2 linked regions of the Drosophila melanogaster genome follow. The protein of the gene in region 1 interacts with the protein of each later gene in a pairwise test. Each region holds a gene or a part of one and is shown on either strand. Other genes may lie near its edges.

What was found.
Region 2: the proteins of CG15861 (region 1) and CG14454 interact in a two-hybrid assay, tested with the Drosophila melanogaster proteins (one large-scale study listed by BioGRID).

What each region holds. Positions count from the first base shown.
Region 1 is NT_033778.4:24,942,688-24,947,291, forward strand, and holds CG15861 (uncharacterized protein), read right to left. Parts: upstream 2,515-4,604; 5' UTR 2,273-2,514; intron 2,168-2,272; 5' UTR 1,736-2,167; coding exon 1,332-1,735; intron 1,247-1,331; coding exon 1,136-1,246; intron 1,079-1,135; coding exon 976-1,078; 3' UTR 705-975; downstream 1-704. Other genes in the region: CG3770 (uncharacterized protein), read left to right, coding at 3,074-3,476, 3,532-3,645, 3,696-3,838; CG2790 (uncharacterized protein), read right to left, coding at 3,983-4,604.
Region 2 is NT_037436.4:22,691,164-22,694,658, forward strand, and holds CG14454 (uncharacterized protein), read right to left. Parts: upstream 1,366-3,495; 5' UTR 1,350-1,365; coding exon 987-1,349; 3' UTR 511-986; downstream 1-510. Other genes in the region: CG12546 (uncharacterized protein), read right to left, coding at 2,273-2,626; CG14453 (uncharacterized protein), read left to right, coding at 2,939-3,340.

The sequences.
Region 1 (4,604 bases):
AAGAGGCCCGCCTCTAGTGGAACAACAACAAGTAAAACAATAACACGCCACACGCGCAAAGCTAAAAATGACGGTTCTGCCGACTGGTCTTTATCTAAGAAATATCCTCTGGGGGGGGGTGTGGGTTAGTTGAAATACCCGAAATATTATAGGCCCCGCAAGCACAAACACTCTAAAATTCGGGCATTATCAATGGCCTAATAACATCTGAGCACAGAAGTCCCTCTTGAGATCCACGCTCCCTCTATGATACCCCCCCCTAGCAGCATTTTAGTTCGCTGGCGACGCCTCTGGAGAACACGTACGCATGTCTTCTTCAGTTTCTCTGCTGATCGGTGGGGATCGGAAATCGTATACTGTATATTGTAATATTCTGCACTTCCATGTGTCCGATTTGTTATAAACAATAACAAAGTCTCTTTGTAATTGATTGGTTGATAGGTGGGGGAGGGGGTGCGGCAACAACAACACCAAAACCAAACCAGTTGACATGCGCTCTTTAAAATCAAAATCTCACTGCGCTCTCTGAATTGTGCCCTGCGAAAGGTAAGGCATTTTAGTTTTCGGACTCAATACGAACTATCAAGCGTAACTACATATTGTATATTGTTGCCCATTCATTATGAAAGGGTAAGCACTCAATAAAGTTAGTGCTTCTCATATTTCCTCAGGTTAGATAAATCGATATAATACATATGCATAATGCGTTTTTGAAGTTGGTATTTTAATATGGACAAATTATAGGTTACTTTATGAGGCGATTAAAGCTGTTTTTATATTTTATGTTATTCCTTACAGTTTCTAAAGACAAGATTGCCTTTCCATAAAAATTTTAAATCAATAAAAAGAGTAACATAGTCTTGTAGCTTAATTCATAAATAATCATGAACCTAAACAATAAATACATATATTAAAATCCATACGACATCAGCGGGACCTAAAACAGCCCCATTGCTGTCAAACCTCCTCTCTAGGTCAATAGTTCCCGGAGCAGATGCCGTTGTGAGCATAATGGTGCTGTTTGTGCCGGCAGGCACACAAGTTAGGAGCGAAGCAGTAAGCTCGTGGTCCGCAGTTGCTGGAGGTACAGTTTAGGGCAAGTGTGGCGAAAAGATATAGCGACAATCAAACTTACTGATCACAGATTGGCATGCATTGCTGTCCATGAAGCAGGCTGTCCCTTAGCTCGTATCCCTGGGCACAGATGCACCGTCCGTCGGAGGAGCAGTTGCCATGTGTGCAGCGCCTGGAAATGAGAAAGGGCACATAAACGCATACGTATGTATGTACACTTCCTAAGCGATAAGGTGAGGAGCAAGAATCATACTCACCCAAGGCAGGGGTCCAGCAGACGGGGAGCCCTGTGGCGGCACTTTTGGGAGAGGGGATCAAAGTAGTAGTGCCTGTCCTCACGGCACACACAGAGATCTGGTGCGGCGCAGTAGCCACCTGCCGCCACGCACCCGGGGAGGCACTCTGCGGCACACACCAAACCATCCGGATTACCCGCCATATACTGATCGGCACAGGGACAGGATCCGTCCTCGAAGCACACTCCATTCAGGCAGACGATGTTGCAGCGCCTTACGCACTGGCGGGTGTTGACCACCAGCATTTCGTAGTCGGAGCAAAGCTGTGAAGGCTCGTTGATCTCCCAGTAGCCGTAGTCGTAGTAATAGTGACCCTCTACTACTGCCCACAGCAGCAACTGTAGGAAGACCATCCGGCGCGACATCTCGGCTAATGGCAAGTGATGAGCCGCGGATTGGTTCAGGCAACGAAAGGGAGAGTGAAAGTGCTTTCCGGAGGCTGCGCACTTTGTGTACGGATCTCATTACGGCCTCGGTCACGATCACTGTGCACAAACACAGTGCGGATGACGCAATGGCCCCCAACACACTCGGCCAACTGATAACCGCTCGACCGAAGATCGTTTCGATCGGAATTGCACATGATCAGCCCGAATCGAAGCGGCGGCGTGCATTACTCACCCGAACGGGGGTGGAGGCAATGGTGGGGTTGGTGGTGGTGGAGTCGACAGATTGGATCCAACTCGAACGCGTGTGCAGAGAGCCAGGGAGAGCTATTCGAGGACTGATTCTGAATTCGGAATGTCTGGATTTCCACGCTCTCAATGAGAAATCGGCGCCCACATCTGCATAAGGCACTGAAAACATCAACATTTAAAAATATACAAAATACATTCGAAAAAAATTCCTCATTAAATTACAATATTTTATATTAATTATTTCCTCTAAGTAAACATTCTTACCAAACATAGTCATTCAGTTTCTTAAATTCTTCCGGCTGATTTAAATTTATACGATAAATACGTAACGCATAAACCAACTTAGAACTCGATTATTACGATTTGATGCACCAAACCTTTTCTTCCAGTGCTCCGATTGGGGCCTGGCTCCGTTTGCGACTGCAGCTGGCTTTAATGGGCTCCATTCATTCGGTCGGTCGGAGTCGGCGAGAGATGACGCTGGCGAGGAACGGCAGCAGACACGCCTGCGCGAACAGAAGCTCAGATCCAAAGTTCCAGAGTGTGGAATAAAGTTGCCAAATAGCTGCAGCCGCTTGGGGGATTAGCGAAAACGCCATCGAGGCAGAGTTATTTTCCCGCTAGACTCTATTTCCCTTCGCTTCGACGTCAGCTGCGAATTTTGTTCTTGACAGAGCCGCGGACTGCGCGGTCTACCGCCTCGCCCTCGCCCTCGTGCTCCCCCTATCCCACAGTCAACCTCCGCTCGCGTGTGAGTGTGGGGTGAATAACATAAAACAGACGGCAGAAAGGCACCGCATAACAGCGAGCGGCGAAAACATAAAATAAACAATTCCATTTCGGGCTGGTCAGCTGGGAGGAAGTTCTGGTCTGGCCCCGCGCTGCTGGTGGTGGCGAGTGGTGCGACGGTGGTGGTGGGTGACGGCAAAGTGGGTGTGGGATGTGCGTGCCCAGACAAAGTAAGAGCGCTTAGAGTCTATTATCTATCCGGCAAGTGCTGACGCGTTGCGATCGCCCGTCGTCGATCGCTAAATCTGTGTACTCCGAAAAATCTGGTGCATCAAAATGTGCTACGTTATTATCACCATCGCCAGTCTGGTGTGGTTCCTCTGTTCGCTGGTGGCCGACATGCTCTTTGCTGTGGCCCTGGTCACGCCCAGGTGGCTGGTGGGCCCCGCCCAAGGAACAGACTCCACCGCCAGCTCTCACCACCAATCCTCGGTGGGCATCTACACGCGCTGCAAGGTCATGCAGGAGGGCGGATTCCAATGCGGCCGCTTCGACTTGGACGGACTGGCCACGGACAGTAGCGTTTACCCCAACGAATGGAAAGCGGCAATGTTCTTCGTCATGCTGGGATTTAGTCTACTCTCTGTAACGGTGATCCTGACCCTGATCACCTGCTGCCGCCAGTCGGCCTGTGGCAAGAGCATACACAACATGACGGCCTGCGCCCAGGTCGTAGCAGGTAAGCAACCATTACTGTGATATCCTCGCAGCATTTAAGTTTGCATTGTTTATAGGAATATGTATGATGTTGGGTCTATTTCTGCATCCGATGGGATGGCGAGCGAACCGGATTCAACGTCTATGCGGCATGGATGCCGAACCCTTTTACCCCGCCGACTGTAGCATAGGTAATTCTTTGAAACTTTTCTTAGAAACTTACTAAACTTAATCCTTACAGGAGTTTCATTCTACTGCGGAATCATTGGGGTACTCCTAACATTTACTGCCGCCGGTATAAGCCTAAAGGCAGAGTCTTCCAATATGCGAACTCGAGTTCGCAGACGCGTGGAGGCGGGCAGTAAACTGGTCTGTATTCCGTAGCTGCCTTTGAATACAATAAGAACACTATCTGACTTGGAGCGAGCATACTTAACTTCATTCTCGAATTAAATTTATCATTAGCATAAATAAACTTTTAACATTCTACAGTATAGATACAAGGTGTGGGTGGATATCTATACGACCCTACTTGTTGCGCTTGCCCTTAGCTTTGCCAGGAGGCTTGCCCTCAACATTAGGCTTTGCCTTAGGTATGTAGACACCATGGTTCGTCTTCTTTAGGTGGGCAAACAGCTTGTTCTTGGAGTCAAAGACAAGCCTACAGGTAACACAAGTGTGTTGCGACTTGGTCGGGTCGAGGTCCTCATCTCCGCTTTTGGGAGCCACTGTTGCCTCCTTTGTATTCGGTTCCGAAACAGTTTGCTCTAATAGCTTAACCTTCCTAGTCGTCGTCTTTTTGCTTTTACTCTTTTTGCTCGCTTTTTTGCCTTTACTCCAGTCTTCATCCTCTGACTCGCTCTTGATTGCCTTCTTTTCTATTGGCTCATCTGGTTCGTCACTGCCTTCCGCCTGCGCTTGCTTGACAGCTGACTTCCTTGCCTTTTTGTTTTTTTTGGTTCGTTTGGCTAGCGAAGATTCTTCTTCGCTTGGAACCCCGTCGAAAGATATCTGATCCTCAGAGACTTGCAATTCTTCCAGCGATTCCTGTACGCCCATTAAACTGTCTTCATGGGGTTCATTGTGGAAAGCGTCCTCTTCTTCCTCCATTTCCTGACACAGCCGGTCGACATTTTCATTATGCTTCTTG
Region 2 (3,495 bases), on another chromosome or scaffold:
TAAAAAAGGGGTTCGGATCTGAAGGAAATAATCTGATGGAAAGAACACATTTTTCTCCGTTTTGTGCTTAGAATCGGCATTGATGGCAGAATGGCAATCTGGAAAATGACAACAATAAGGGTTGGCCCAGCCTAACGTACTTTACCTTTTGGCTGGCGGCATTTTGCTTATTTTCGTTTCCCTCAATTGCTGCCCAGTCTGCGGACGAAGTTCCCTGAAATGCAATTTTGTAGCGAGAAAATCCGATAAAAAATTTCTTCAGCCTTCAGAGATGGCGGCATTCTCTATGCGTCTGATCTGAGCAATTAATGGGCACAAAGAAGCAAATGTGGATTCGAATATTGTTAACAGAATATAACCCCAATCTTGAACTGCTTTCAAGCAGTTATGCAAAAAAAAAAAAGACCAAAAAACATCGATTCCCCCTGTCAGTCTCTATGTTATCCTTGGCTTTTTGAAACGTCTAAGAATATGATGACGTGCCGTCACCAAACCGCACTCTTTATATATGCACACATTCAGCGTAATTTTTATTCACATCCAATAGATTTAAGTATCCAGGGCTTGGGTGGCTCCATCACTTCGTGAACAGCAGCACATTTATGCACAGTTCAAAGACCAAAATGAATATTTTATTTGATTTGATTCCAGGCGGGCTGACTGCTGAGCTTGGCTGCAAGAAAAGCATTTTCGAGCGCTCAAGCTCTGGTATAATAAACTCCAGGGATAGGGCCAATTGTCTGCCGCCTTGGAATTGCGCGGATTCGCCGCTTGTCGGATAGAATATGTAGATGTGCGTGGGAATGCCTGTGGAAACGTCTTAAATGCTCTAATGCCCACAACGAAACCTTGCTCAACGCTGCAGGCATGCCTTCTCAAAAATACCTCCAAAGAAAGAGATCAATCTAATAATCTGATTAGTTGGTGCAGCGCTTATATTTCTATTGAACGGCCGAAGATTCTATCTTAAGGGACCAAGCCCCCACTTATCCCTGAAGCTGATTGATCAGGCGACGCTGCCTCACCAGCAGCTGCTCCATCCTGCGCCTCCTCTTTTCCTGGCGCTGTCTCCGCTCCTGGCGACGACGGCGCTCACGAGCCAGGCGACGACGGCGAGCACGTCTGCGCCTCCTGGCCTCCGCCGAGGAGGAGGAAGAGGAGGCAGTGGTCGTGGTGGATGCGGAGGAGGCAGTGGTGGTAGTGGTGGTGGCGGATGAAGCCGTGGTAGTGGTGGCAGAGGAGTCGGTGGATGTGGTCGCCGTCGAGGATGTAGATGTGCTGCTACTGCCCTCCTGAGCCAGGAGCAGACACAGGAGCACGCTGAGAAGTAGAGCGAATAGGAAGCGCATTTTGTTGTGTCTAATCTAATCTAATCAGACGGCCTTTTATACTCAATACGGGGTAACAATTAAACAAATATCATGTATCGGAAATCGGAAATGTGTGCACAGCCTATCCAGCTCGTCAATGTCTTGGGCTTGTAAGGTCAACAGAGTAAAAGAGTCGATCGATATATTATTGATAGTGAGCCGGGTTTAACTCGTTGAAAACGAGATAAAAAGGTAATATTATAACGCTTCTTACGCCTAATTATGTATGGCGACCACGTCACGTCTGAAGGAAATATTTGGTATAACCTATTTATGTACATTCACATCTTATCTGAGTAAAAATCGCAGCACTTGACGAGTTAAAGGTGTTTTATTTGTTCTTCATTTGAGCTTTGCGTACCCAATTAACAGTTTTGTGCTGTTGCATTTTGGCTTATATCCATTTAAGTTCTCCGAAATTAGAGATTTATTTTCCAAAAAAACAAATACGTGGTTTACATTATTTTTAAACCAAACACAACAAAGATGTGTATAATTATATTAATTTTATACCAGTTACCGATTTCAAAATTCGTCTCGATTTGAAACAGGCTACTCCTGGAATGAGACTAAACTAGATTTGTTGAAAAGTATGTAACAGGCGTTTCCGACCCTATTAATTATACATATGTATATGCTTGATCACTATTACTCCGTCTGTCCGAACGAATGTCTCGACCTCAGCAACTCTAAAAGCTAGAGAGTTGAGAACGTTGAACTCCCTCAAGCCGCTTAAATATGCCACTCCCACACGTTTTTGTGCTCCAATAAAGTAGAATTATCAGAATGTACAATCAAATGTTTTATTATCTTGGCGAACTTGAACAATGAAAGAATTTAGCTTTCACATATTTACAACAGCTTTTCCTAAATTGTCATAAGCCGAGTCTTTCCGAAGACCTTCATCCGCTCAGCTGGTTGATCTGTCGACGTTGATTCTCCAGTTGCTGGCGCAGCCTCTGAGTCCTGCGCTGCCTTCTGCGCTCCCTTCGTTGCCTCTCACGCGCCAGACGACGGCGACGGGCGCGCCTGCGCCTCCTGGCCTCCGCAGAGGAAGAGGATGAGGAGGAGGCAGTGGTCGTGGTGGATGCGGAAGAGGCAGTGGTGGTAGTGGTGGCGGACGAAGCCGTGGTAGTGGTGGCAGAGGAGTCGGTGGTTGTGGTCGTCGTCGAGGATGTAGATGTGCTGCTACTGCCCTCCTGGCTAAGCAGGAGGCATCCTAGGACGGAAAGAACAATTACGATCGAGAAGCGCATGCTGAATGTCTTTGACGCATTTGAGACGTTACGCATGTTTTTATAGCAAATTTGAATAATGGTGGTTTACCAAAAGCGTGTAAGCTAATAGGTCTGCTGGATTGTTAGCTTTAACTAAGGTAAATTTTGGTAATGTTTATTCAGATTGAGAAATTATGTGTGCCGCCATATAGTTTAAACGTTGCTCTTGAGTCTTAACACACATAATAATGTAATAGATTTACGGTAATGAGCGCGTTTCTCAACCAAGTTTCCGGGTTCAACATCATATAAATAGGCTATTCTCCAAATCATAAGATATAACTGCTTAGAATGCGATTCATATTTGTTCTGCTCTTGGCCCTTCTCGGCTGCCTCCTGTTTGCCCAGCAGGGCTGCGAAGCTACGGGAACGAGCACTGAAAGCTCCTCGGATAGTACCAGCGCCTCGGACACCTCCACTACCGCGTCCTCTTCCTCCGACACAACTGAAGCCTCAACGTCTTCCGACACCACCACAGTGGCCTCGTCTGCCACGACTACCACCACTTCTTCGTCCTCGTCCTCGTCGTCGTCCTCCAGCGCGGCCGCCCGTCGTCGCAGGGCCGCCGCCCGTCGTCGTCGCTTGGCCCGCCAACGGCGCAGGCGCCAACAGCGCCAAAGGCGCCAACAGCGCCAAAGGCGCCGCCGCCAACAGCAGCGCAGAAGACGCCAGCAAAGGCAGCGCAGTGGATAGACGATTGCTACAGTCGAAGAGGAGGCTGCTGCAGCTAGAAACCTGTCGAGTCAGACAGCTAATACAAGCCAAAGATTGATGTTTTAACTAAATTGCAGTTGCGTTGCTGTGGGATATTCCGTTTTTTAAAAATAAAGAAAATTTTAAAAAATAAA